Linked DNA regions of Sus scrofa. The protein of the gene in region 1 binds, or shares a complex with, the protein of each later gene. Links are inferred from orthologs where the notes say so. Each region holds a gene or a part of one and is shown on either strand. Other genes may lie near its edges. The genes, in order: TFDP1, LIN52, LIN9, RBL2, E2F5, LIN54 and E2F4.

Region 1 (4,192 bases):
GGGACCCTGCTGCCCAGTGGGACGCTGTGCACACTGTACCACCGGGAAGCAAGGTGTTGCGCCTGCGGGCAGGGCAGGTAGGTCCGTCCTCTGAAGCCTCTTATTTACCCTCTTCCTCCTGGATCCCGGTTTCTCTGAGTGCCGCGTACTGAAGAGAAAGAACGCGAATATCTCTGCTCCCTTCAAGAAACCAGCGCTAAGGTGTGAACAGTCTTAGGCCGGGAGGGGCTTTACTGGAGAAGCAGAGTGGGCGTGATCAGCATAAAAGCGGTTAAATTGGGAAACCGTCCGCGGCCGGGTGGAAACCTGCAAGATGAGAGGCCTTTGCTCTGTGCTCATGAACTTCGGACTTGACTCCCAGGCCCCTCCCGACCTCCGCAGCGTCTCTGGAACCAGAGCCCATGCCCTCTGGGGCCTTGGTGCTTGCGGGGGCGCCCAGAGGGGACGAGTCTCCGAGGCTCAGCGTCCACTAGGTCCAGCCCACCCAGTGATGAGGAGCCAACTCTCCTGCACTGAGAATGCTCTGAGGCTGGCTGGAGGCTGGGCGTGGGCACGGAGGCCGCTGGCAGCTCAGAACAGGAGCAGCAGGTGGACAGGGCTCTCTGCGCTGTGGGTGCACACGGCCCTCGCCTCGGTGCAACTACACACGCACACGCCTGGCCTCCTCTCCTTGCGCACCTACACATGCACCCGCCCCTACACGCCCATGGGCACCCAACCTCTCTTATTCTCGAATACGTATACACACTGTGCACACACTCGCCCCCCCATGTGCGCACTTCTGTACGTGCATACGCACACACTCAACCCATTCTCCGTGTGCACACCCATGAATGCATCTCTAGCCCCTGGGTACGCGCGCGCACATACACACACTTGCACACTGGCTCCAGACCTCTGTGCATACACACTCACCTGCACACTTTGCCCCTGTTCCTCATGTGCCCACACGTGTATACACACTCCTACCCCCCATTCCCCGGATGCACACACACCCGTGTACATGCACAGGTGCACACCTCCTCAGCTTCTGTCCCCCTCCCCAGGTGCTTATATACGCACGTGCACCCCTAGTCCCTGTCCGCCGCGTGCGCACACGTGCGCATATCCCCGGCCCAGCTCCCCCGCGTGCGCAACACCGCGCCCCGGGGGCTGGGACCTCCTCTCCATCTTTGCTCGGCGCGCGCACACACACGCGCGCACATGCGGACGCGCGCAGGCGCAGCCCAGCCCCCCGGAGCGCGAGCGCGGGCCGCGGAGCGGGAGGAGGAGGAGGAGGAGGAGGAGGAGGAGGAGGAGGAGGGAGCCGAAGGCGCGAAAAGGCGCGCAGGCGCGCTGCGGGAGCCGGGCCGCCGCCCACGTCACCGCGCCGCGCACGTCACGCCGCCCGACGCTCGCAGGGTGAGCCCCGCGCCCCGGCGCCTCGGCAGGGCAGGGACCCCGGCCGAGCGCCGCCGGGACCGCCCGCTCTTCCGCGCCCGCCCGCGTGTGCGCGCCGCTGTCCGCGCGCCGACCTCCCGCCCGCCAGGTGCGGCGGGCCGGGGTCCCGGAGGGGCGCACGCGCCGGGCGCCTGCGGACCCCGACCGACCCCCGCCCCCGCGCGCCGCGTGCGCCGACCGGTCCCCGCGCGCCAGGGCCGCCGCGTGGGCGCCCAGGTGACCGGCCCGGCGGGGTCGCGGGCCAGGGTCCCCGTCGGGGCCTGCAGGGGCCTCCGGGCGGAGCAGCGCGCGCATCGGCGTCTGCGCCCGGCGGGGGTTGGGGCGGGCCGAGTCCGAGCGCACGGGGTCCGGGGTGCGGGGTGCGGGGGCCCGGCGGCGCCGACCCCACCTGCCCGCCGACTGCCGGTTCCGGGGCGTGGGGGGCGCTCGCGGGAGGCCGCCGCGGCCTAGTGACAGGCTGGAGGCCGGGACCCCGGAAGCCCACCTGTCAGAGTTACGGGTCGGCTGGTGGTCGCGGGTGGGCCGGGGCGCCCGTGGGGAGCGCGTGTGCGCAGAGACTGGGGCTGCGCCGGGTGGGAACGCGGGCCGCCAGTGCGGGCTCGGCCTCGCTGCTGGCTCTTTGTGCGCGTCTGGGGAGGCCGGCGGGCATTCTGGTGGCGGACGAGCTTCCATTCCTGAGATGACTTTAAAATCCCCAGCGTGGGGGCTGTTTCTGCGGCCCCGCTCCGAGGGTGGAGTGTGGGCATGGAGAGGAAGGCGCCGCTCCCCTGAGCCGCGGTGGGGATGGTGGTGGTGCTGGGGGGAAACGCTGAGGTTTGTGAACTTCTTATTTCATCCTTATTCACTCCTTGCTTTTCCTTTCTTCTTTTTACCAGAAAAGTCATTTTTCTTCTCTGGAGGGTGAACAACTATAGCATCGATTTCACGGATCTGGTAACATGGCAAAAGATGTAAGTATGTTTGCTTCCTGCTGGACGCATGTTTGCCTACTGATACATTCTTGGTAGTTTCCCGATTTTGTTTCAGAATGACAGCACACAACATTCAGGAGCGTTTATGTTCAGACTCTTAAAGCACATGAAACACGCTAAAGGTGAGGAACCCAGAGGAGCCCCGGTGGCCTTTATGGAGGGTACTTTGCAGGCCTGAGCCCCCAGGGGGGCCAATGCCCGATGGGGCTTGACTGACCCGATCTGTGGGTCTCTTCTGACTGGTTAACTTGGAAATCTGAGTGCCTTGGTGGGGGACCCTGGGCAGGCGCTGGACTCGGTGGAATGGCGCTGAGCATCCTCTGCAGGTACCGTGTAGGATGTTACTTCAGCTTTGAGCCGTAACAGGCTAAGCACTGGGTTTGGCAGCCTTTTTTCTCAGAAAAAGTGGCACTTGGTGCCTAGTGAAGTGGGGTGCAAAAATTCTACTTTAGCTTTATATTTGTCGGGGAGCTATAGAATTTGATGAGTTAGTTTTTTTCTCTTGTTTTAAGAAGTAGGCTTTTCGGCCCCAAGATTTCGGCTTTTATCATTTGGGCAGCTCTTTCGATCCTGGGTGACATCCGTGAAATTCACTGAAACCCCGGCTCCTCCTTTAGCGTGTCTCAGGACGTGCTGTTCCGTAAACATTAATGAAAAGAGGCAGTTTATTTATTTACTCGTGTGTTGCGTGGAGGTGGAAATGCAGCTCTGAGGACGTGCATCTGCCTGAGACACAGCCGGAGGGTAAAGCACGTCCCTGTTGGTGGCGCCAGGAAACGGGCATGATGCCTCCGTCACCTCGCGGGTTTGAACCTTCTGCAGGGCGCCTGTCGGAAGGCACCCCACCCGCTGGGCCTTAGGCTGTGGGCCCCCGCGCCAGTTAGTTTGGCAGAGCGGGTGAACACGGGGCTAGTGTGGTGGGTTTGAGCTTAAAACCAGAGTCTGTGTGTGATGTGCAGGTGGTGTTACCTTCTAATCGTCAGTGGCCAGGCCCAGTTCTCTGCCACTGTCGCCCGGAAGACGCAGGACGGGAGCTGGTGCTCAGCAGGGGTGCAGCTGCCCCCATGCCTCCCATCGTGGGTGGAGGTGGGGAGCTGAGTTTGCCTCTCGTCCTGTCTGAACCCCCTGGAGGAGGCGTCCTCTCCCTCCCCCTGGGCATCCGGGGGATGGGAAGACAGTCCAGGCCCGTGCCTGGTTCCAGGAGACTCCTGAGCGGCCTCCTCCGAAGGTCACTCCTGGAGGTCAGCCCAGCGAAGGCTGGGTCGCTGTGGGCCACCTGGTGGCTGGGTGGGGGTGATGGGGACCACCCGTTGAGCTTGGGTACGTGACACAGTGGAGGTTGGTGTCGCGGTGAGAACAGCCAGGTAAGAAGCAGTGGCTTTGCCTGTCCTGGGTTGGGGTCGGCAGGTGTGCTGGAACCGGGTCTCTCCAGGGCTGTGCTTGGCGGGACAGAGGCTGCGGGCCGCTCAGGCTCAGCCCCGTCTCCCCCTGCGCTGGGTCTTAGGTCAGGTGTGACATTGGAATCTGGGAAGCTGACCATTGTCGGGGGGTAGGGGGCAGGCATAGGAGGCTCACTCTGCCCTTGGGGGTAAGGTCAAAGCCTGCAAGCACCTCGCACAGCCTCTGGCTGAAGCGGGTGGGCTGGGACCCCAGCTGGGCCATTGGGCCCAGGGAGGCTGGCGTTAGGTTCGGGGGAGGCGGGGGGTCCCAGTGGAGGCGGACAAACTCGGGGACTGATGGGGGCAGCCAGCCTGCAGAGGCCCGGGGAGGGTGGCGATTGA
Region 2 (3,500 bases), on another chromosome or scaffold:
TCTACCCCTAGAATTTTGATTTATGTGAATAAAATCCTTCTTTTGCTTAAGATTGTTTGATTTGACATTCTATCGCTTAAAACTAAGAGTTACCAATATGCTTTCACTATACAAAGAACAATAACTTGTAATCTAGTAAACTCTGTAATTACTTTGACACTCTACTATAAAAGGCACACTTTAGATTATAGTGGCTTCTTACCTTGAGAACATCTAATAAAGATACTAAAGTTACTTTCTGAATTACACCAGAGCTCATCATTAAATATACAACATGCAACCCTGAATAAATGGATCTGGGTACTCACACTCATCCAGCCCCAACTGATAGGCTAGGTTCTGAAGGCCTCGTACCTTCTCCATCAAATTAGCTGTGGTGAGGCTCCCCAGTTCTGAAACAGAATCATTTATTTCAATACCATTTCTTTCCACTGCTTCTAGTAACAACGCATGCGGGTTGCAAATCCTTGTTATAAAAATTTCAAGCTTAATTCCTATGAAATAAGTAGAAAATGGATCCATATCTCTTCTCAACAAATCACATCACCACTACCCCCAGCACAGACGTGCACACACACAAAAACGCACAAATCAAATCAGTGAATTTTTCCACCACTGCAAAATGCCTCAGATAAGCTTACCCACTTAATGAGAAGAGAATTAACGTAAACACAACAACAAATTACATGTTTTATCCTGAGGATCTTTTTGTAACATTCATTTTGCGTATCATACAAAATGAATATATGGTTAAAATTTGAAAACTTGTGATCTGACATAGCATTGAGACAGCAAACAGACAGATCTCTGTCTCACAAAAAGGACACTATCTCAGCTGTCATTTATAAGTCCACATTACTCCAAGTGACAATAAAACACTTATTCTTTCCTATTTCTCCAGGTTTAGAAAACAGGCTAAATATTAATCCAAATTTTACCTTCAAATCAAATTCCCATAAAAAAATTTTTAATTTTACCAGATAAAAAGACAGTAAACTTAAAATTTTATCTTCCCAGATTTTCATTTAAACAGAACTTAATTCCTTTTAAGTTTAGGACATACATGAACTTGCATGAAACAGAATGCTCTGATCCCTTATCAAACTTTAAAGCTTCCTTAGAAAATACATGTTGATGGAATATTATATAAATGTCTGTTTGGAACATTAGAACAATGAACCCAAGATGCCCTTGAGACTTAATTTTTCCAGATGGAGGAAGGGCTCTGCTTTTAAGCATTTCATGCAGAACAATGAATTATTTCTGAAGTCAAATAAAGGTGTTATTTTCTCTCACTCATCATGCCATACTTATTATCTATATCTGGCATAAGTAGACTTTGTGAATCTGTTCAGCTGCTTAAATAGCTTAAGAACCCCAGATTTTTTACCTCAATTTCATTCTATTACTTCACAACCATCATGAATCTTATCACTACGAGGATGATAAAAAAAATTAAGTAAAGTAGAGCAAAATCAAGGAAAATTAATGTTTTTTAATTTAAATTTCTACTTTGTGATTTAGTCCCAAGCCATTTATCAAACAATGATATTCACTACTTACAGTATTCTCTATGGGAGAAATTGATGAGATAGAAAGAACTAAAAGACAGGTCTTAACCCACTAAGGGGTTGTCAATTAATAGTACTCATAACAATATATGACAGCAAATCCTAAATAAGGCACTTGCATTATAACAGTAAGAGACTAGCTTTAAAAGATCCGAGTTTAGGAGTTCCCATCGTGGTTCAGTGGTTAACGAATCCGACTAGGAACCATGAGGTTGCAGGTTCTACCCTGGCCTCACTCAGAGCGTTAAGGATCCGGCGTTGCCGTAAGCTGTGGTATAGGCTGCAGACGCGGCTCAGATCTGGCACTGCTGTGGCTCTGGCGGAGGCCGGCGGCTACAGCTCTGATTAGACCCCTAGCCTGGGAACTTCCATATGCTGCTGGTGCGGCCCTGGAAAACACAAAGAGACCAAAAAAAAAAAAAGTTCAGAGTTTAAATTTTAACTCTTTCTATAATAAAGCTTGGTTAACTTCTGAACCTTAGACATCATATCTAACTCACAGGGTCTTTATGAGAATTAAATAAGAAATTTTATGTGAGAGCTTATAGTTAACGTTAATTTTTTCTTTTTTTTTTTCTTTTTAGGGCCACACTCGAGGCATATGGAGGTTCCCAGGCTAGGGTTGAATCGGAGCTGCAGCTGCAGGCCTCTGCCACAGCAACGCAGGATCCGATATGAATCTGTGATCTACACCACAGCTCACAGCAATGCCAGATCCTTAACACACTGAGCGAGGCTGGGGATCGAACCCACAACTTCATGGTTCCTAGTTGGATTTGTTTCCACTGAGCCAAGATGGGAACTCCAACGCTAAGTATTATACAAAATAAAATTAACATTAAAGGAATTTAGCAGCAGAAAAAATCAGTATGGTTGGGTCTTGAATTATTTCTACACATGGAAAAGTAGAGAAAGGCATTTAGATATGAAGAACCATGAATAAGGATGGTTAAATAGGCAATTTGAAGCCAAAAATACTTGTAAGGGAATCGTGAAAGAAAAACTGGAAAGGTGGTTTGCACAGGAGCATAAAAGTCAGGTTGAAGGTTAGAGGTCACCAGCTTTGCTTACCTTTCAACATGTCAATGTCATCGCGTTCTATTTCAGCCATCCATTTGGGTGGGGAGCTAGTAATGGGCTGTCAGAAAATAAGAATACATCTATTCAGACATGTGCAATGTATAGAGATCCTACTTTTCCTTCTTTTTTTTTTTTTTGCTTTTTAGGGCCGTACCCTGGTATGTGGAAGTCCCAGGCTAGGGGTCAGATCAGAGCTACAGCTGCCAGCCTACACCAGAGCAACACAGGATCCAACCTACATCACAGCTCGTGGCAACACCGGATCCTTAATCCAATGAGCAAGGCCAGGGATTGAACCTGCATTTTCACGGATAATAGTCGGATTCATTTCCACTGCACCACGACGGAAACTCTCTACTCTTCTTTCTTGTAAGAAAAGGAGGTTGTCACACAGTCCTCAGGTTGTTTGAAAATACCAGCAAGTTATAATTTCAAAGAACCAGATTTCTCCAGATTCAGCTCTGACCTACAAATAGAACCCTTACAAAATAATACTACTGATCTTTAAAAGCTGGTTTTAAAGTAATGATCTTGAAAGATTTAGGTCTGAATACTGTTACTAGTGTACGAAAAATAGGTAAGTAGAGCCATGAAAGAAATTATTTGAGGAGTTCCCGTCGTGGCTCAGTGGTTAACAAATCCGACTAGGAACCATGAGGTTGCAGGTTCCATCCCTGGCCTTGCTCAGTGGGTTAAGGATCCAGCGTTGCCCTGAGCTGTGCTATAGGTCACAGACGCAGCTCGGATCCCTCGTTGCCGTGGCTCTGGCGGAGGCCGGCGGCTACAGCTCTGATTGGACCCCTAGCCTGGGAACCCCTATATGCCATGGGAGCGGCCCAAGAAATGGCA
Region 3 (4,146 bases), on another chromosome or scaffold:
CAGAATTCCAACCAGGCCTTAGGGTTCAAGTCCACCCTCTGAACGTCTGGGACAGACAGCTCCCCTTTGCCTGCCTGCTCCAACAAGCTTCCTCCTGACTAGTTTCCAGGACTCTCATCCTATCACACTCCAATCCATTTCCCATACTTTGGTTCTACAACACAGATGGAAAAATGCCAGCTCTATACTTGAAAACCCGACCTCTCCACTGCTCCAGGGCTCTTAGCAAGTCTAGCTCCTTGGCCTGGGCTGGCCTGTCTTGCTGTCATCTCAGACGACCAGCTTTTAACTTTTTAGTTTCTGGAATTTACCCCTGCTGTATTCTCATTGCTTAACTATCCCATCCCTCCCACCCCAGCCCTGGAGAGAAAGGACTGGAGCTTAATAACATTTGTTAGATGCACTGTTGAAAAGCAAGAGAGGTTGATTATTGGACACTATTATAGACAGGAATTGTGAAATCTTTCCCTGGGCTTCTTTGAAAACTGATTGAATTCTTTCAGGGTTCTCAAAACATGTCGATCAGGGTACTTCATCATCTTCAAGTGTCACTGCTGGGTTCTGTCTGTATCTTCATCAAGTCTCCTGCTTCTGGTTCTGTAATCCTCTCCCAGCTCACTGCAGCGTCTACTGTGAACGGATGAAAGAGCTCAGCAAAACAGTTTTCTGGCCGCCGAGCTCAAAGACTAACTTTATGACCTTTCAAGGTCTCCCCTCCAAGCTCCATGCACAACTCGGGTGCCGACGTTCCGGAGGGGTATCCCGGCTCGCGAGGGGCACCCGGAGCAGAGTCCCGGGCGGGCAAGCTGTGGGGCAGCCGCGGCCTGAGCCCTCCTCCCCGGCCCTCCTCCCCAGCTCTCCGGAGAAGGGAGGGATGGAGATGCCGGAGAAACGTGGGCTCGGGGAGCCGTGAAAATTTTACTTCGAGTACAGCCGCCTCCGGTAATGCGGCCAAGAACCGGGGGCTTCTCCCCGCGCCGGGCCCACAGGTGCAGCCTCCCGCCCCCCCCGCCCCCCTCAGCCGGCCGAGGCCTGCCTCCCCTCTTCCCTCCCTTTCCCCACTCGGAACAAACAGCCTGCAGTTCCCGCAGCTGCAGCTCGAGACGCGAAACGCGCGCCGGGAGCGGGGCCGGGCGGGACTCGGCAGCTCGCACCGCTCCTCCCGCTCCCCCCGCGCTCCGGCGCCGGGCCCAGGCTGGGGCGGCGCGAGACGGGCCTGGCGGTGCGGCCTCCCTCCCTTTATTGCCGGCCCGGCCGGGGGCGGGGGCGGAGGGGCGAGGCGCGGCCCTCCTCCGTGGCACCCCTTCCCCGGGCGGGCCCGGGCAGAGCCCCGCCCGCCTCAGCCCGCCGCGGCGGGAGTAGCGCGGCGCCGCGCCGCGGGCGGCGAGCTCCGCATTCGAACCTCCCTCGCAAAGACAGTCTCCGCCCCACAATGCACCGCGGCGGGCAGCCTTTGAAAAAGCGGCGCGGCTCGTTCAAGATGGCGGAGCTCGACCAGTTGCCTGACGAGAGTGAGTAGCACCTCAAAGCACCCCCCCTCCTCCCGCCGGCCGCCTGCCCCTGGGCTGCATCGGCCCGGACAGGCGGCCCTACCCTCCGCGGGGCAGGTGGGCTGACTGCCAGCCCCGCCGTGGTCCCCGAGTCCTCCCACCCCGGTGTTGCCGCCGCGTCGCCGCCTTTGTTATGGTGTCTTGAGTGTTGGTTTCTGGGGTTGTGTGAGCGCCAGGGCCGGAAACCGAAAGCCCGGGGGCCCAGCCCTTGTCGGGCGGAGGCGGTGGCTGCTCCCCTGGCCCGACGCGGGGCCCCTGGCCGCGGTGGGGGAAGAGCGGCCACCGGCCGCGGGGGCTGTTCTCGCCGCCTGCAGCGCTCGCCCGGCGCGGAGGGACGCCTGGCGGGGTTATGTAACCCGCCCGTCCGGGGGCCGGGCCGGGCTCCGGCTGGGGAGGGGGTGGTCACGGCCCTTCGTCTTGCCCTGGCCTCGGATCTTGTCCTGTCACAGTTCCTGCCGCTGCAGGCACTTGTGATCATCACCGCCTTCGCCTTCCCTCCTCCGGTGTGTCCACCCCTGGAAGTGTTTCCGTGTCAAAGGGCTGGCCCCTTCCCCTGGGACCACAGGTGGCTGTGGATCTTTCCAGAGGTAATCCAGCCTGGGTACACACGTGTTCAGGTGGCCCCCATCCCAATGACTTTCTTCTGTGCGTTTGTGTCTTAAGAATCATGGGGGTACCTTGATGCATGGATGTGACCATCCCAGCAGGCATATACAGCCCTCTCCCTGACACCCCTTGTGCATTGCCTCACTTAACCATGTTTATTCATCCTGCCATCTCAGACATGGATGTTCCCGTGTGTTTAGGAAGTAAAAGCACTAATCCGGTAGTGTAAGTGCAATAGAACTTAATTTGTAATTTACAATATCGTATAAACTATATCAAAAGGCAAATCGTTTAATTAATGACAAAAGGGTTCCTGAGCCACACTTGCTATTCAGTTTATGTATACACATCTTTTGTGAGAGTTTTAGTATAATAAAAACAAAAAGGTCGATCCCTGTTAAATCTCTCTGTGCAAGACACTTTAAAAATGAGAACTGCGTACAGCCAATTCTGTTTATTCCTTGCTGAGGTCATTATATTCTTAATGTGTTATAAAGTTGCAAGTTCAAGTTGCCAAACTGGTGAAAAGTTGTATTAAGAGAGTTCGTGTTTTAAATTTGCTCTAGGCCAGTGCTGAATTCCAATAGAACTTTCTCAGTGATGGAAATGTTCTATTTTGCCACATCCGGTAGAATAGCCACTAGCCACATGCGGCTGTGGAACTCTTCACTCGTGGCTAGAGTGACTAAGGAACTGCATTTTATTTATTTATTTATTTATTTTTGCTATTTCTTGGGCTGCTCCCGCGGCATATGGAGATTCCCAGGCTAGGGGTCCAATCGGAGCTGTAGCCACCGGCCTACACCAGAGCCACAGCAACGCGGGATCCGAGCCGCGTCTGCAACCTACACCACAGCTCACGGCAACGCCGGATCGTTAACCCACTGAGCAAGGGCAGGGACTGAACCCGCACCCTCATGGTTCCTAGTCGGATTCGTTAACTACTGCGCCACGACGGGAACTCCAGGAACTGCATTTTAAATTTCATTTGATTTTTGTTCATTTAAGTTTAAATAGTCAGGTGTGGCTCGTGGCTACTGTATTGGACGAGACACAACTACAGACTGTCAATGAATTTTACTGTTTCTTGAAGAATGCAATTGATTGTGATTCAGGATGCTCCTAAATAAAGGTGGGCCTACTAAAGACAGTGTGGTTGTTAGCTGGAAATCCTTGCTCTCTTTGTCATAGAGATATTTTATCACCTCTTGGAAGTCCCAGTCCCCCTGGGACTTCCAAGAGGTGATAAAATATCTTTTATCATTTAGAATATTTGCTCATTATCAGTAAACTGATTTAGAATATTTGCTGTCATTTAGAATATTTGCTCATTATCAGTAAACATTGATCGAGGACTTGCTATGGTTCTTTGTAGTCACTTGGGACTCATATTAGGGTTCAAATTCCAGCTACATTCTGAAACTGTATGTCATAATCGTTTATATTTGTGACATCTCTGGTGCACTGGGGCGTGTGTGGGCGTGCACCTTAGCTTGGATATTTGTCTTGTTTAGCTTGGCCACGCCTTTTGAAAGCAGGGATTGCTTTACCTGGTTTGTCAGAGTGCCACAGGTCAGGTATATATAAATAATTTATATGGAATTGAATGTAGAGTTAGAAGCATAGTTAAGGAAACTGGAGCAGTCTTGAAAAGGGAAAGTGATTTCAGTTTGATGCTACCAGTAGCAGTATATTTCTTTGCCAATTTTAGTCAAGAGGGGTAGCTTATAAATTATCCAGTAACCATTATAACATTATCAATAATAAAGGCTAGCATTTATTTATCACTGTGAACCAGATGCTGTGTAAAGCATGTCTAATGCATTTATTTATTTAATCCTCATTCCAGTTGAGGTAAGTACTCTTACTAATGAGGTAACCAACACGGTCTTCAGCCCCTATCTTTCCTCTGGGCTTCTGGGCTTAATACCTCTTGCCTATTTCACATCTCCTCGTAGGTGCCTCAGAAGCCCTTCAGACTTTATGGGTT
Region 4 (3,500 bases), on another chromosome or scaffold:
GTGTCCAGGACACAATCTGGCTCATAGAATACCTTGAGAATATTTGCTGAATGAATAAGCAAACCAGTCTTAAGTCTGGTCTTATATGTGAGCTTTGCCCTGGAATTAGCCACAATACCTCTGGAAGGCCTGTCAGAAGTTGCTTATTTTTCTGTGAACACCACACAATAGAAGGGAAACAGTCTCCATCATTTAAGCACCTGCATGAAGTAACTAACACATGATCCTGAAACTCAGTTTAACAGAATTTCCTTAAAGACTACAGATTCTCAGTTTCTCTAGTCTCTTAGATGAAGGTACCAATCCAGATCAATCAACATTTTCTAAAAATCTACTATATTTAGTATGTAAAGGCTGTATATTACTGGCCCATCTTTTGAAAACCAACAATTATCAGCATGATACATTTGTTTACATTTATATTAAATCCTTATCACAGACCTAATCAAAAATTTTGAAAGTTGATGTCAACAAAAATTAAAACAGTAAACACAGAGACAGACTCTCTGACATATCTGCTTCTGTATTTCTACTCTCTGGGATGGCTCAACTTACTTTGTCAAAATGCTGCTGCAAGATGTTTTTCATCTGTACCCTTTCAGCAGTCTCTGTTCCTGAACCACTGTTCAGACACCTTGAGAGAGTCCCAATTTCCTCTTCAGCATCCTCTCCAAGAAAAATCCGTTCATCTAAATTTCCAACAGATAAAACATACTCCTCATAGGCTTTATTGATGGCTTTACTATAGGAAAAAAAAATAGGCAAAATGTACACTCAAAGAACTGCCATTTCCAGTTGTTTTAGGCTACTTAATTGTTTCATTTTTTTTATTTACTAAAAATTCTAATAATTTTGTGAAAGTTAAATTTTAGTGGAATCACTATTAATTATCAAACCTGAGGAGTATAACATGCAAGCCTGCTCCACTATGTGTATCCATTGCACAGTAAGTATATTTTGGTGACAGTTTTTGAGGGTGGGTACCCTGTACCAAGCCGCCCTGTAGGTACAGCTTCTGGTAAGAAGCTTAATTATCTTTCCTAGCTGCTCCAGGCACCTTTGAACTACATCATCATTCTTTACTCATGTAGTTCCAAAAGAAGTCTTTATTTCAAAAATTATAATCCAAAAGCTTAACTATTAAAGCTTTAGAGAACATCCATAAAATTTTCTATATGTTAAAAAAATATGTGCTTAGAGTAAAGTTGACAGGAGTTTTTACAGCATCCCTATATTCCCCCACAAAATAGTCTACATTTCCAGCATACAAACAATAAAAACATGAAACTCTGAGGTCTCCTAAGTACATAATTTAAAATATTAAAATATTTTTATAACAGAAGTACTCACAAACTCTCTCCAAAATTCCCAGGTTCTAAAAAACCAGTAAGATTTTCTTCTTTTCCCTTAAGGAGCTACGACGAAAGAAAAGATCCATAAGACATCATGTTAAATAAAATCTTTGCCAAGAAGATATTTTCAAATTATGTTTTTACTACTTACAAACCTTTTTTTCATAAAGTTTCCTAATATAGGGTTTCCAGAAATGTTCCTTTATTCCCTTTGCTTCCAAAACAAGGCCATCATGAAAGGAACAGAGTTTCTCAATAACACAAGGTGGGTCGGAGGAAGGTTTAAAATCCTTAGCATGAAAGTCTTCGGATAGGCCTATGATGCAATCACAGAACAGAGATAGCACTGAATAAACCAAACTGTAATAAACTAAAATATAAATAATAGAGTCTAATCAACATGTGAGTTAGCATATGAGTATATAACAAATAGTATATAAGGACCTAATTTGACTCTATTTAAATAAACGTCAAGGAGTTCCCACTGTGGCTCAGCAGGCTAAGAACCCAACACTGTCTCTCTGAGGATGACGGTATGATCTCTAGCCTTGCTCAGTGATTTAAGGATCCAATGTTGCCTCACGTTATGGCGTAGGCTGCAGGTGCGGCTTGGACCAGTGTTGCTGGGGCTGTGGCATAAGCCTCAGCTGCAGCTCTGATTCCACCCCTAGCCTAAGAACTTCCATACTCCACAGGTACCGCCATGGAAAGAGAAAAAAATACATATATATATTTGGTATATACACCAAAAATAACAGAGGCAAAACATATCACTACTTAGAAGATTCCAATTATTTAATTATCTACCTGGTAACAGTTAAAAAAGAATTTAGTATATTGCCCTAAGATCTAAAAAACACAAAATTTTGCAAATAAGCCTTACATTCCAATAAAAAACTTTGAAAAAAATTACTATTCAAAGTACTTTTTTATACTTAGATTTAATTATATTAATTCCATATTAGATGTGTTTACTAATTTATAGCCATCCCTGCCCTAGACTCAAAGCAAGAGGATAAAATAAATAATAAATAAAAGAAGAGGGGAAAAAGATGAAAGGAAGCAGCCATACAGAAATATGAAAGGGAGTTAGGAAGAAAATAAAAGGACAGAATATGGAGAACACTAAATTTACCAAACCAGGGAGTTCCTTCGTGGCTCAGTGGGTTAAGAATCTGGTGTTGTCAATGGAATACTACTCAGACATAAAAAAGAATGACATAATGCCATTTGCAGCAACATGGATGGAACTGGAGATCTCATACTGAGTGAAATGAGCCAGAAAGACAAAGACAAATACCATATGATATCACTTATAACTGGAATCTAATATCCAGCACAAATGAACATCTCCTCAGAAAAGAAAATCATGGACTTGGAGAAGAGACTTGTGGCTGCCTGATGGGAGGGGGAGGGAGTGGGAGGGATCGGGAGCTTGGGCTTATCAGACACATTTAGAATAGATTTACAAGGAGATCCTGCTGAATAGCATTGAGAACTTTGTCTAGATACTCATGATGCAACAGAAGAAAGGGTGGGGGAAAAAATGTAATTGTAATGTATACATGTAAGGATAACCTGACCCCCTTGCTGTACAGTGGGAAAATAAAAATAATTATTAAAAAAAAAAAAAAAAGAATCTGGTGTTGTCACTACTATGGCATGGGAACTTTCACACACCATGGGTACAGCCAAAAAAAAAAAAAAATTTACAAAACCAGTAACTAATTCCACTAATATTAAACATCTACCTTGAGAGCCAGACAAGCTGAAATTCTAATTGTAACCACTCCAAAACTGACAATCACTCAGAACCCTACCAAGATATTATTCAAATAGCAGCATTATATTCTAACTCAATCAATACTTTTTAATATTAGCTTCGTAAATCATAATCTGGTCTCAGAGTATGTCATTCACAGAAATTACATACCTTAAGGCCTATTAAATGCAATGCCAAAATAATTATCATTTCCACATATCTTTTAGAGTTGAAAATTCATTTTACTCATTTCAGAACCATAACTACTCATATTCTGTAGAAAAGATTTGAAATGGAGATTCTTTCAATAAATCTGTTTTGACCTCGCCGTGTGTGTCAGGCACCAAGCTTGCCAAATACAGAAAAACACCATCAGCTTTAATGTC
Region 5 (4,042 bases), on another chromosome or scaffold:
TGCAATATAAGATTTTATTATGTACAAACATATGTAAATAAATGAAATATATATTTGTATATATGTGAAAAAGAATGAAAAACTGGTCTCATTTACTGGACTGAAGTAAAAAAATCATTAATACAATGAGACCTAATATTACTGCAGAAACCTCTGAACTTTTAGGAAAATTCCAGGATGAATGAAACAATGTTATCAGGAAATATTAAACTTTACTTCCCACTCACTGCCTCTGTAAACTTCTGGACAGCAAAATCTGGCCACAGATGAAACAGGAGGAAGCCAAAGATTTAGGGGAAAGCAAGGACAAATTTCCATCATATTCCAAGGCAAGCTGTGAGAAAAGCTCTCAAAAGTCAGCCCCTCAGAATTCAGTTGCATCTGGAAAACCCCAAACTTCCCTGATTCTTTATTGGAGTCACAGGCTTTTTTTTTTTTTTTTTTTGGTTGCACCCATAGCATGTAGAAGTTCCCGGGGCAGGGGTCAAACCCACGCTACAGCAGTGACCCAAGCCTCAGCAGCAACAACACCAGATCTTGAACCCACTGAACCACAAGGGAACTCCCTGAATTTTAGCCTTTTTTTTTTTTTTTTTTGGTCTTTTTATCTTTTATGCATCTGCAGCATATGGAGGTTCCCAGGTTAGGGGTACAAATAGGAACTGCAGCCACCGGCCTACCCCAGAGCCACAGCAACATGGGATCCAAGCTGCATCTGCCACCTACACCACAGCTCACATCAACACTGGATCCTTAACCTAATTAATCCACTGAGCAAGGCCAGGGATCCAACCCTTGACCTCATGGAAACTAGTCGGATCTCCTAACCCCTGATCTACGATGGGAACTCCCTAGATTTTCAAATAGTAGTTTGCAAGGTAGGTTTGGAAACATCCCTGTCTTTCAAAGATGACCTCATGACTTCCTATGAAATTCTTTAAACAAAAATCCATTTTAGTTCACAATTTAAATACATACATGTCATAAAGCACTTTAAGGGAGAGAGGGAAGGAGAGGGAGTGGGGAAAAAAAGAAAACAAGTATTTCTAAAAGTGCAGGAAAATTTCAGGAGTAATACTTCAAAAAAAATAGTAGAAACTTTTCCCCAAATGCAAAATATGTGCATCGTGCCTTATTTGTATGAAGTAGAACAATTTCGGTAATTCAGGAGTCATTTACGCAACACTTACTACACCCAGGGAAAGGAGAGGACATTCAAAGACATACCTCACCTCCCAGACTGTCCTCAGATGAGAACCTCTAGCAAAGGACATCAAATTGGCCTCTGTGAGTCTTAGTCTCAGGTCAAGGAGTACTAGAAGATGCTGTCCTACTCAGACGGTGCTTCTGTTACCCTAAGCATAGCCTTGAGGATTGCAGTCATCCTCTCAAGCTAGGTACGGTGGTCCTGGCACTTCCATAGGTGCTGGGACCAATTCTCAGTGTTAACCCCAGATTTAGGGGTAGTGCCTAGGAGGCGTCTACAGTAATTACTGATTCATTAGTAATTTTTGTTTGTTTTTAAAGCTTTAGTTTTTACTTAAACATGGTGCGCTGGTTGAATTTTAATTCAAGGGATCACATCTCTTGTTTCTCAGCGCTATGGAATCCTTCCAAACCCTGACTGGAACGGTTAGGTCATTTTATTTAACGGAACGGCTTTTGATGTATGTTGTGGTTTGAAAATTCCGAACTCAACTGCAGTAAAAGATCTCATGAAATAGGAGTTTGCTGAGCGCTTCTCCTTGCATCAAAGTTATAAAACATCCCCTTTCCGTGTGACGGCAAATCTCATTTTTAGAAATCTATATCAGATCCTTCTAAGTCACAAATCAAATACCCCTCTTAGTCACCAAAATGATAAAAAGAAATATACAAGGAAGAAGTTTTTTCTTTTAATTACTACCATTATTTTAACAGGGAGGGCTATGAAGAGTTCACTTTATTTTGTTTCATCCAGGAGAGGTGGCAAAACTGGGTTTTGTTTGCTTATTTGCTGGCTTGTTTAAACAACTTGATCACGGTCTAAGCTAGAATCGCCTATTAAAACCAACAATGCCCAACAGGAAAAAATCAATCCCGACGGTGTCCTGGGCAAAGCGCCCAGATACCCTCTGTGCCTCTGCCACAGGTGGACGCGGAGCAGCAAGGGCACTCAGTCGTCCTCGGGTCTCCGCGCCCCGAGACAGAAGCCACGCGCGCGCGCTGGAGCTCCTGGGCTCTTTGTCGAGAGCCCGGCGCGGCGCCGGGCCCCATTGGTTAAGCGGCTGGTCCGGGCCATCCTGGTCCCTCGTCCCTCCCCCCCATCCCGAAGTCCAGGGCCTGGGCGCAGGCCACGTGGCCACTGCGCTCAGGTCGTGAGATCCCCGCGCGGAGCGTTCACACCACGTCCCCCGACCCACGCGGCAAGGGGATGGGCTTCTCCCCCGGCCGCAGGATCTGAAGTCCGCCCCCTCCCCGCCTCCTACGCTCACCGCTTTGAGATCCAGGACGCCGTCCTTGGCCTCCTGCAGCAGCGACACGAACTTGGTGGTAAGCAGCCCCAGGCTCTTCTCGTGCCTGCTGCTGCCGCCCCCGCCGCCCCCGAGTGGCTGCTGCGGGGGTGGGGGCTGCGCCTGGGACGGCGGCGGCTGCGGCCGCTGGCCCTGCCCTTGGCCCTCCGGTGCCGGCTGCCCAGAGCTTGCGGGCTCGGCCGCCGCCATCGCGTCCCCGCACCGCAGTGGTGCGGACCTCGCGCTCGGCCACCTGCCGGGTCTGCTCCGGGCCACCTCTATCGCCGCCCCTGCAGCCGCCGCCGGCCGAGGGCGGGACGAAGGGTTGCGGGCGCTTGCAAACAACAGGTGCGCGGGGCCCACCGGCCTCTGGGCCGCTCGGCTTGCCGGGCCTCCGCCCCCTCCCCGAGCCCTGGACCCAAGAAGGAAGCCCACGACTGAGGGGAGGGGGAGTGGAAGCGAGGAGAAGGGGCGGCGAGGGGTGGGGACCTGAGTTTAAATGGCAGGAAGTGACGCCGCGGCCCGCCGTTGCTTGGAAACGCATTTTTCTGTAGGAAGGAGGGGAGAGCAGAAGGGAGCGTCGAGGAGTGGGTTTCAGCTCGCCTCTCTGCTGTTGGAGTGCCACCCCCAGGACCAGCGACCTCCCGCTACAACGCTTGGAGGAAAAAAATGAAACGAAAACACTCTGCTTGGTGGCCATCGATTTCTGACCTGCTGGATCTCTACAACCTCACGGGACTAGCCGTCCGCTGAATACCTTCATTGGGGATTTCTGCTGTCTTGGTCCTTTCCAACTTTAGAATCCTTTGCAAGTATTTCAATGCCTCTGATCAAGTGCAAGGTTTTATTCCGATCATCTTTTTAGATTCGGGATATGGGAAAAGCAGAATAATGGAGCAGTATAGGTAGAGGTACTGAGGTGTAGAGGGAGAGGCTGTGACTCGCCCAAAGACTCGCCACTGGACTCCAGATTTCCTTCATTTAAAATTGTTCTTAATACCGTATTGCAACCAAGCTATGTAGTATTATTTAGAATATTAGGCAGTCGTAAGATTTTTATGTTTTTTGATAGCCCAAACTATCAAAATGAGAAATGAGATAACGCAGATCTGAGTAAAAGTTTTTTTCTCATTCGATTACACACTCTTGAGGGTTGGGAGAAATTCTAAATAAATTGGTATCACACGCAACACTTTTAATATAGTAGATGCCCAATAAATATTAGGGGAATGAAAATTCCATATGATGATAATTCATCAAGAAAGTCTCATGCAAGACATATTTCTAATTTAAAATAACAGTAAACTAGCAAAAAAGGGTCACTGGAATGAAGTAAAACAGTAACATTAGAGAGTAAAATTGGACACACCATTTAAGTTTAATATTTGTTTCCAATTCATAGGACAGAACTTTATGAATAACCAGATAGACTTTTTTTTTTTTTTTCTCCTCTTCACCAGGGGCATATGGAAGTTCCCAAGCTAGGGGTCTAATTGGAGCTGCAGCTGCCAGCCTATGACACAGCAACACTGGATCCAAGCTTGGACTGT
Region 6 (3,500 bases), on another chromosome or scaffold:
TAATCTACAATTGTAATCCAAATTTCACAAACATTTTATGCACACTGTATATAAATACACATCACAAAGGTGCAATTAGAATTAAACACAGAGTATGTACAAAATGAACAAAGTTTAGGTTTAGACCAAAAAGGTATTGTAATCTTTTGAAAAATAACTTGATTAGATATTATTTTATCCTCTTACACTAATTTACATTTATACAAAGTTTAATTAAGTGTACTAGATTGAGGTGCTAAGAATGTCTGCACTATCTACATTTAAAGTTACTGCACTGTCATTTTATAAACCCAGGCTTCAAAGGAAGGTCCTTTTGGATCGCTTCGTTTCTGCTGCCTATATCTTGCATGTTCGTATGAACATATATACACACTTAATACATACAACTATAGATTCCTTGTAGGAAATGTAATAATCATATACTAATAATTACTGGGGATCAAGGTACCTAACAAAATGCCTGAATTCCAACATGGTTTTTTCCCATCATAAAATCCAGAGTCCTATTATAACAGGCTCTTAAATTCATAAAGCTTCTGAATTCTGAACTGCTGAAAATGATTTCGGTTATCTTAGTAATTATATGAGAAACTCATACCATTAGCTCACCAAATCACTGGCTAAAAATAACGCCGTGTTAAGCTTCCCGTAAAAAAGAAATCCCACTACAATTCTGAGAGCTTTGTTAGTTAGGAGGCCCATTTCAGTAAATCAAGTAAGAGTCATAACGTTGGTTTGAACCCTCTTAGTTCAAAAGTCTGTAAAGAGAGCTGTTTCTATAGATGAAAAATCCTCTAAATTCATCTCTTAGACCTTCAGTATTGATTTCTCCATCCAAGCCAAATCTTTACCCGATAAATAGGTAAGGTTCTGTTATCACTACATAATAGGTTTACTTCTATTCATATGCAAGGCTCATTTTAATAGTACCCCGTAACCACTGACAATTTATTATTCTGAATACATACCGCCTCCTTGAAAGAAAATGGAAATATCCCAAGCATTTCTTCGTCACTCCTTATATAGAAACAAACTGTCTGCCTTTGAGAATTATTTACTGTCCCTTAACACTGTATGTTTTTTTTTTAAAACAAACATAACTTTTTTATTTTAAAAGTGTGCCATGGATTACTTCCCCATCGGACCATTCCTAAAGTGACAACAGGGTATTATTCCAGAATCCACCCTAAAAAGTTGATTTTTCCTAAAAAGATAGTGCTTTTCTAAACACAAAAGGTCATGAGAATTTGTCAGTGGAGATAGTCTATCTGCTTATATTGTAGATCTAGCACCAAAGAATGACTGGCTAAATACCAAGGCTTCTTTGGCCTTTTCTCCTGGAACAAAGTCATACAACACCATACATTATAAATTATAGTAATTTATAAATGTTATTTGTCAATAGAAGCAGAAGGACAGAACATCTAGTTCTTAAGAATTCCAAGCCAATTAAAAATCTATATAATACAATAAAGAGAAACTCAATTTAGAAGGGAAATAAGCAGATTTAACTTAGACTTAAAATGTACTAATTTCCTCATTTAAAAAAATTTCTTCTCTTTCAATATTATAATTTCAGGTCTCACAAGGACTGAATTGCCAATACAGTCATTGTTGGACTAGCTTCCAGAAAATCCCGTGTCCCTGCACCTCCAGTGCTCTGCACAGTCCCTCCATCAGTCAGTCCTTTGTGCAGGAGTTAGCAATTCATGGCGCAAGGGTCCCGTTTTGCTTTTCCTGCAGAGTTGATGACGCTCATCAGACATCGTCCGAACTCCTCGAGTATCATCCGTTCGGCTGCTGCCTTTGATTCTCCCTTCTTGTCCGCCTGCTCTGCCTGGGCCAGAAGGCAGTTACACGTGGCTTCCGCCACCTCCTTGGTTACAAATGTAAACGGCAATCTGCAGTGATTTGGGGGAGAGAGGGGGACAGCGGTGAGGAGGCTGTGAAGAGCAGCCAAAGGGGCGGCCGTCTTCCACCTGGAACTCGGCCCACAGGTCCCTGCTCGGCAAGCACAGCGAGCATCGTGTTTGTGTGATGAACACAGCACACCCCAGAGAGCCTTTTAGAAGTCAGACTTGGTCTTATTACTGAACACACACACACACGTATTTTTTAGTCTTTTTAGGGCCAGGGGTTGAATCGGAGCTGTAGCCACTGGCCTACACCACAGCCACAGCAACACCAGATCCTTGGCCCACTGAGCAAGGCCAGGGATCGAACCTGAGTCCTCATGGATGCCAGTCAGATTCGTTTCCACTGAGCCGCGAAGGGAACTCCTGAACATATTTTTAAAATATAACATTTTACACAAAATACATATTACCTAGACGAGGTTACCTGGTTAACTGCAAGATGTAATTCTAATTCTCCACATTAACTGGACAGTTTTTCTGCGGCGAAAGTCCTCCCACCTCATGACCATCATGAGCTCACTGAGCACAGTTCTGTTTCATGTACGGTTGTTTCTCCGACACACATTCCATGAACATGTGCTGAATGAATGAGTAACACTGGGAACTGAAAGCGCCATCTCCTGGACAGCACCTCCCCCAGTCCCATACAGTGTTTGGAAAAAACAAGACACACACCAAAATCTGGCATTATTCCACGAGGACAAGACAAAATGGGGACACCGGATGCTGTTCAATACTTGGCAAGTCATCCATAAAGACCTGAACCACTGCGAATTAAAGCAGAGCAAACCCATCCCGAGGCCTCGCTCTGTGCTGCCAAGTCTCAAAGCCCACAGGGGCCGAACAGGCGACCAGTCTAACTGCCAACGCAACCACCTGTGAGCAGCCACCGGCAGCAGGAAAGTGCGGCGCAGGCTCGATGGGTCTGCAATCGCGGCCCACTCTGACAGAGGGCGGGGCAGGACTTGGGCTGCTGCGCACTTGGATAGAAATCTTTAAGGTACAAAAGCACTTTGAATTAGAAAAAGCTAGTGACACTACAATACTATAGTGCTCATTCATTATATAGTATTTCGAAAACTAGAGGAAAGCAGAAGGAAAGAATTCAAAATTCTTGCTGCTCAAAGACAAAAGCTTGTTAACATGCTGATAGAGCTTTTTATACAGTTTCTAAAAACCTCTTTTGACTACAGTGTATGACTTTGTGTCCTTTCACACTTGGTAACATCATAGCCGCGTTCCACAGGTGAAACTTCTCAGTGCAGCACTTTCTTCTCCACATGGAGATGAGACGAGCTAATCCGAGGCTCGCTGCGAGCAGACGACCAGCAGGGACCCTTCTCACCCCTCACTGCAGTGTCAGGCCATCTCCACTTCACTCAGTCAAGAGACTTGTGCGGAGGATATGCCAGTTATAAGGGTTCTTTTTTGTTTATTTATTTATTTTTGTCTTTTTGTCTTTTCTAGGGCCGCTCTTGCGGCATATGGAGGTGCCCAGGCTAGGGGTCAAATAGGAGCTATAGCCACCGGCCTACACCACAGTCACAGCAACGCCAGATCGGAGCCGCGTCTTTGACCTACACC
Region 7 (2,282 bases), on another chromosome or scaffold:
TTCCTGCAGGACTCACGCCTCTGTCTTCTTCAGTGAGATTTTTGATGTTACTTTCCTGGGAGTGGTTGGCAGTGCCTAATTCTCCTTGGGCCCAGGAACCAGGGCTATAGTCATCTTGGCTGTGGGTTCTAGAACAGCCAGCTTCGATATCCTGCTTCCTGTTCCCAAGTGACTGGGTTTGGGGTGTGTGGTTGCAGTGAGTGGTGGCCCTGGAACTGATAGCAAGGACAGTGGTGAGCTGGGCTCCCTCCCACTGGGCCCGACAGCGCTGGATACCCGGCCGCTGCAGTCCTCTGCCCTGTTGGACAGCAGCAGCAGCAGCAGCAGCAGCAATAGCAGTTCATCCGGACCCAACCCTTCTACCTCCTTTGAGCCCATCAAGGCAGACCCCACAGGCGGTGAGTACTTGTCCCCTTGGGAGCAGGGAGAACCCAGCCTCAGACAGTCCTAGGTCAGAAACAGAACTGGGCCTGGAACGCAGCTCTCCTAACTCCTCAGCCAAAGCTGGCTGGCCCCACAGCCAACCCCCTGCCATCCACCAGAACTCTGCCAGCCAGAGCGCCCCTCTGCCCGCTTCCTGGGCTGACCCAGAACGCCCTGGCCCTCCCCAAGCCCTGTCTACCACCTCCAGGACTCAGGACAGCGTGAGCACTCTCCTGGGGAAAGGGCTGCAATGTGGCCTCAGGCCCCACAGGTGGGCAGTGTCTTCTTCAGAATGGGAATGCCATCTGCCTGGTGTCTCCTTTCCATCTTGTGACTTGAGTGCTTTTTCCAGGACTCATTCCCCTTAGGCCCACAAGCACCACTAAGTCTCCCTCATTAAATGACACAGTGTCTGTCCCCTGTGTCCCCCTCTCTTATCTTCCCTGTATCCTCTCTGTCTGGACTTCCTGAAAAAGTTATCTCCACTCTGTCCCATATCCAGGTCCCCCAGTCAGCTGGAGGATGCAGCAGTCAGGACCCCCACCCCCCCTGCCACGCCAGTGCTGCTAGTCCTGATGGCCAGTGCTGGCGGGTTTTGGGGCTGATTTGCTCTGGTGCTCTCTTGCTCTGTCTTGATGTGCCTTTTCGCCTTTGCCATTTATGATGTCAGCTCTTGGTTCTTGGCTCCTAACTGGCTTCTTCTTGTAACTTCTCTCTGGCATTCCTTTAAATCTGGCTTCTCAGAGTCCATCCCTCTGGAAGGCCCCAGTTCTGAGTAGATGGATTCCCAGCATCTGTGTATAGGTTTCTTGCCTAAAAACTTTACTTCCTGTGTCCACGTGCCTTCCTGTGCACAGCCGACAGGCACCTCACTCCCATGTGTGCTCAGCCGAAACTCGCTTTTCTTTTCCTTTTTTTTTTAATACTGATTTTTATTTTTTCCATTATAGCTGATTGGGAGTGTTCTCTCAGTTTTCTACTGTGCAGCAAGGTGACCCAGTCACTCTTAGATGTATACATTCTTTTTTCTCACATTGTCATGCTCCATCATAAGTGACCAGACATAGTTCCCAGTGCCATACAGCAGGATCTCATTGCTTATCCGTTCCAAAGGCAATAGTTTGCATCTGTTAACCCCAAATTCCCAGTCCATTCCACTCCCTCCCCCTCCCCCTTGGCAACCACAAGTCTGTTCTCCAAGTCCGTGAATTTCTTTTCTGTGGAAAAATTTCATTTGTACTGCTCATTAGATTCCAGATATATGATATCGTATGGTATTTGTCTTTCTGACTTACTTCACTTAGTATGCATCTCTAGTTCCATCCATGTTGCTGCAAATGGTATTATTTTGTTCTTTTTGATGGCTGAGTAGTATTCCATTGTGTATAAGTACCATGTCTTCTTAATCCAATCATCTGTCGATGGACATTTGGGTTGTTTCCATGTCTTGGCTGATGTGAATAGAGCTGCAATGAACCGAAACTTGCTTTTCCACCTCTGTGCGTACTCGACCATTGGCTCTAGCCACCCAGGCCTGACACTTGGGTGTCACCTCAACTCTGTCTCCTCCTCTGTCCTTCTCTTTCCCCCCATCCCACATCAGCTAATGAGTTTTCTCCCAGACACCCCCATTGATGGCCTCCTGTATCCTCAGCATTCAGGATCACTGCAGCCACCGCTCTCCTAAGTCCCTCAGCATCATTTTTACTCCAACAAGGATCTGTCACAAACAGCTTGACTGCGGTGTTTCTTTGTTACAAAAGTACCTTTAACAGCTTCCTAAGGTCTGGTGGATAAAACCAGAGCCCTTAAACTGGCATGTGAAATCCAGCTCCAGCGCTTCTTTCCCGTTTCCCATG

The links.
Region 2: TFDP1 (region 1) and LIN52 share a complex: the UniProt entries of both Homo sapiens proteins name them as parts of the DREAM complex. The link is inferred for Sus scrofa from reciprocal best matches to the Homo sapiens genes TFDP1 and LIN52.
Region 3: TFDP1 (region 1) and LIN9 share a complex: the UniProt entries of both Homo sapiens proteins name them as parts of the DREAM complex. The link is inferred for Sus scrofa from reciprocal best matches to the Homo sapiens genes TFDP1 and LIN9.
Region 4: TFDP1 (region 1) and RBL2 share a complex: the UniProt entries of both Homo sapiens proteins name them as parts of the DREAM complex. The link is inferred for Sus scrofa from reciprocal best matches to the Homo sapiens genes TFDP1 and RBL2.
Region 5: the proteins of TFDP1 (region 1) and E2F5 are in contact, whole or in part, in a crystal structure (PDB 5TUV), measured with the Homo sapiens proteins. The link is inferred for Sus scrofa from reciprocal best matches to the Homo sapiens genes TFDP1 and E2F5. Residues at the interface, in NP_009042.1 of Homo sapiens: Glu201, Cys202, Leu205, Glu208, Arg209, Arg212, Leu213, Arg215, Ile216, Lys219, Gln220, Leu223, Leu226, Ile227, Gln230, Phe233, Leu236, Val237, Arg239, Asn240, Arg241, Arg249, Pro253, Ser255, Val256, Ile257, His258, Leu259, Pro260, Phe261; in NP_001942.2 of Homo sapiens: Val126, Arg129, Leu130, Lys134, Glu136, Ile137, Leu140, Glu141, Glu144, Leu147, Asp148, Gln150, Lys151, Leu154, Gln155, Ser157, Ile158, Val161, Met162, Ile166, Asn167, Asn168, Arg169, Phe170, Ser171, Tyr172, Val173, Thr174, His175, Asp177.
Region 6: TFDP1 (region 1) and LIN54 share a complex: the UniProt entries of both Homo sapiens proteins name them as parts of the DREAM complex. The link is inferred for Sus scrofa from reciprocal best matches to the Homo sapiens genes TFDP1 and LIN54.
Region 7: TFDP1 (region 1) and E2F4 share a complex: the UniProt entries of both Homo sapiens proteins name them as parts of the DREAM complex. The link is inferred for Sus scrofa from reciprocal best matches to the Homo sapiens genes TFDP1 and E2F4.

Annotation. Positions count from the first base shown.
Region 1 is NC_010453.5:78,754,130-78,758,321, forward strand, and holds the start of TFDP1 (transcription factor Dp-1), read left to right. Parts: upstream 1-1,392; 5' UTR 1,393-1,528; intron 1,529-2,315; 5' UTR 2,316-2,378; coding exon of another isoform or gene 2,379-2,390; 5' UTR 2,391-4,192. UniProt on the Homo sapiens protein: Can stimulate E2F-dependent transcription.
Region 2 is NC_010449.5:97,392,020-97,395,519, reverse strand, and holds part of LIN52 (protein lin-52 homolog), read right to left. Parts: intron 2,710-3,500; coding exon 2,643-2,709; intron 393-2,642; coding exon 309-392; intron 1-308.
Region 3 is NC_010452.4:14,181,228-14,185,373, reverse strand, and holds the start of LIN9 (protein lin-9 homolog), read left to right. Parts: upstream 1-1,346; 5' UTR 1,347-1,432; coding exon 1,433-1,511; intron 1,512-4,146. UniProt on the Homo sapiens protein: Acts as a tumor suppressor. Inhibits DNA synthesis. Its ability to inhibit oncogenic transformation is mediated through its association with RB1. Plays a role in the expression of genes required for the G1/S transition.
Region 4 is NC_010448.4:31,785,018-31,788,517, forward strand, and holds part of RBL2 (retinoblastoma-like protein 2), read right to left. Parts: intron 1,669-3,500; coding exon 1,508-1,668; intron 1,416-1,507; coding exon 1,351-1,415; intron 743-1,350; coding exon 556-742; intron 1-555. UniProt on the Homo sapiens protein: Key regulator of entry into cell division. Directly involved in heterochromatin formation by maintaining overall chromatin structure and, in particular, that of constitutive heterochromatin by stabilizing histone methylation.
Region 5 is NC_010446.5:51,509,818-51,513,859, forward strand, and holds the start of E2F5 (transcription factor E2F5), read right to left. Parts: upstream 2,801-4,042; 5' UTR 2,703-2,800; coding exon 2,475-2,702; intron 1-2,474.
Region 6 is NC_010450.4:135,394,384-135,397,883, reverse strand, and holds part of LIN54 (protein lin-54 homolog), read right to left. Parts: exon of another isoform or gene 1,902-3,500; coding exon 1,700-1,901; 3' UTR 1-1,699. UniProt on the Homo sapiens protein: Component of the DREAM complex, a multiprotein complex that can both act as a transcription activator or repressor depending on the context. In G0 phase, the complex binds to more than 800 promoters and is required for repression of E2F target genes.
Region 7 is NC_010448.4:27,837,356-27,839,637, forward strand, and holds part of E2F4 (transcription factor E2F4), read left to right. Parts: intron 1-197; coding exon 198-398; intron 399-2,282. UniProt on the Homo sapiens protein: Transcription activator that binds DNA cooperatively with DP proteins through the E2 recognition site, 5'-TTTC[CG]CGC-3' found in the promoter region of a number of genes whose products are involved in cell cycle regulation or in DNA replication.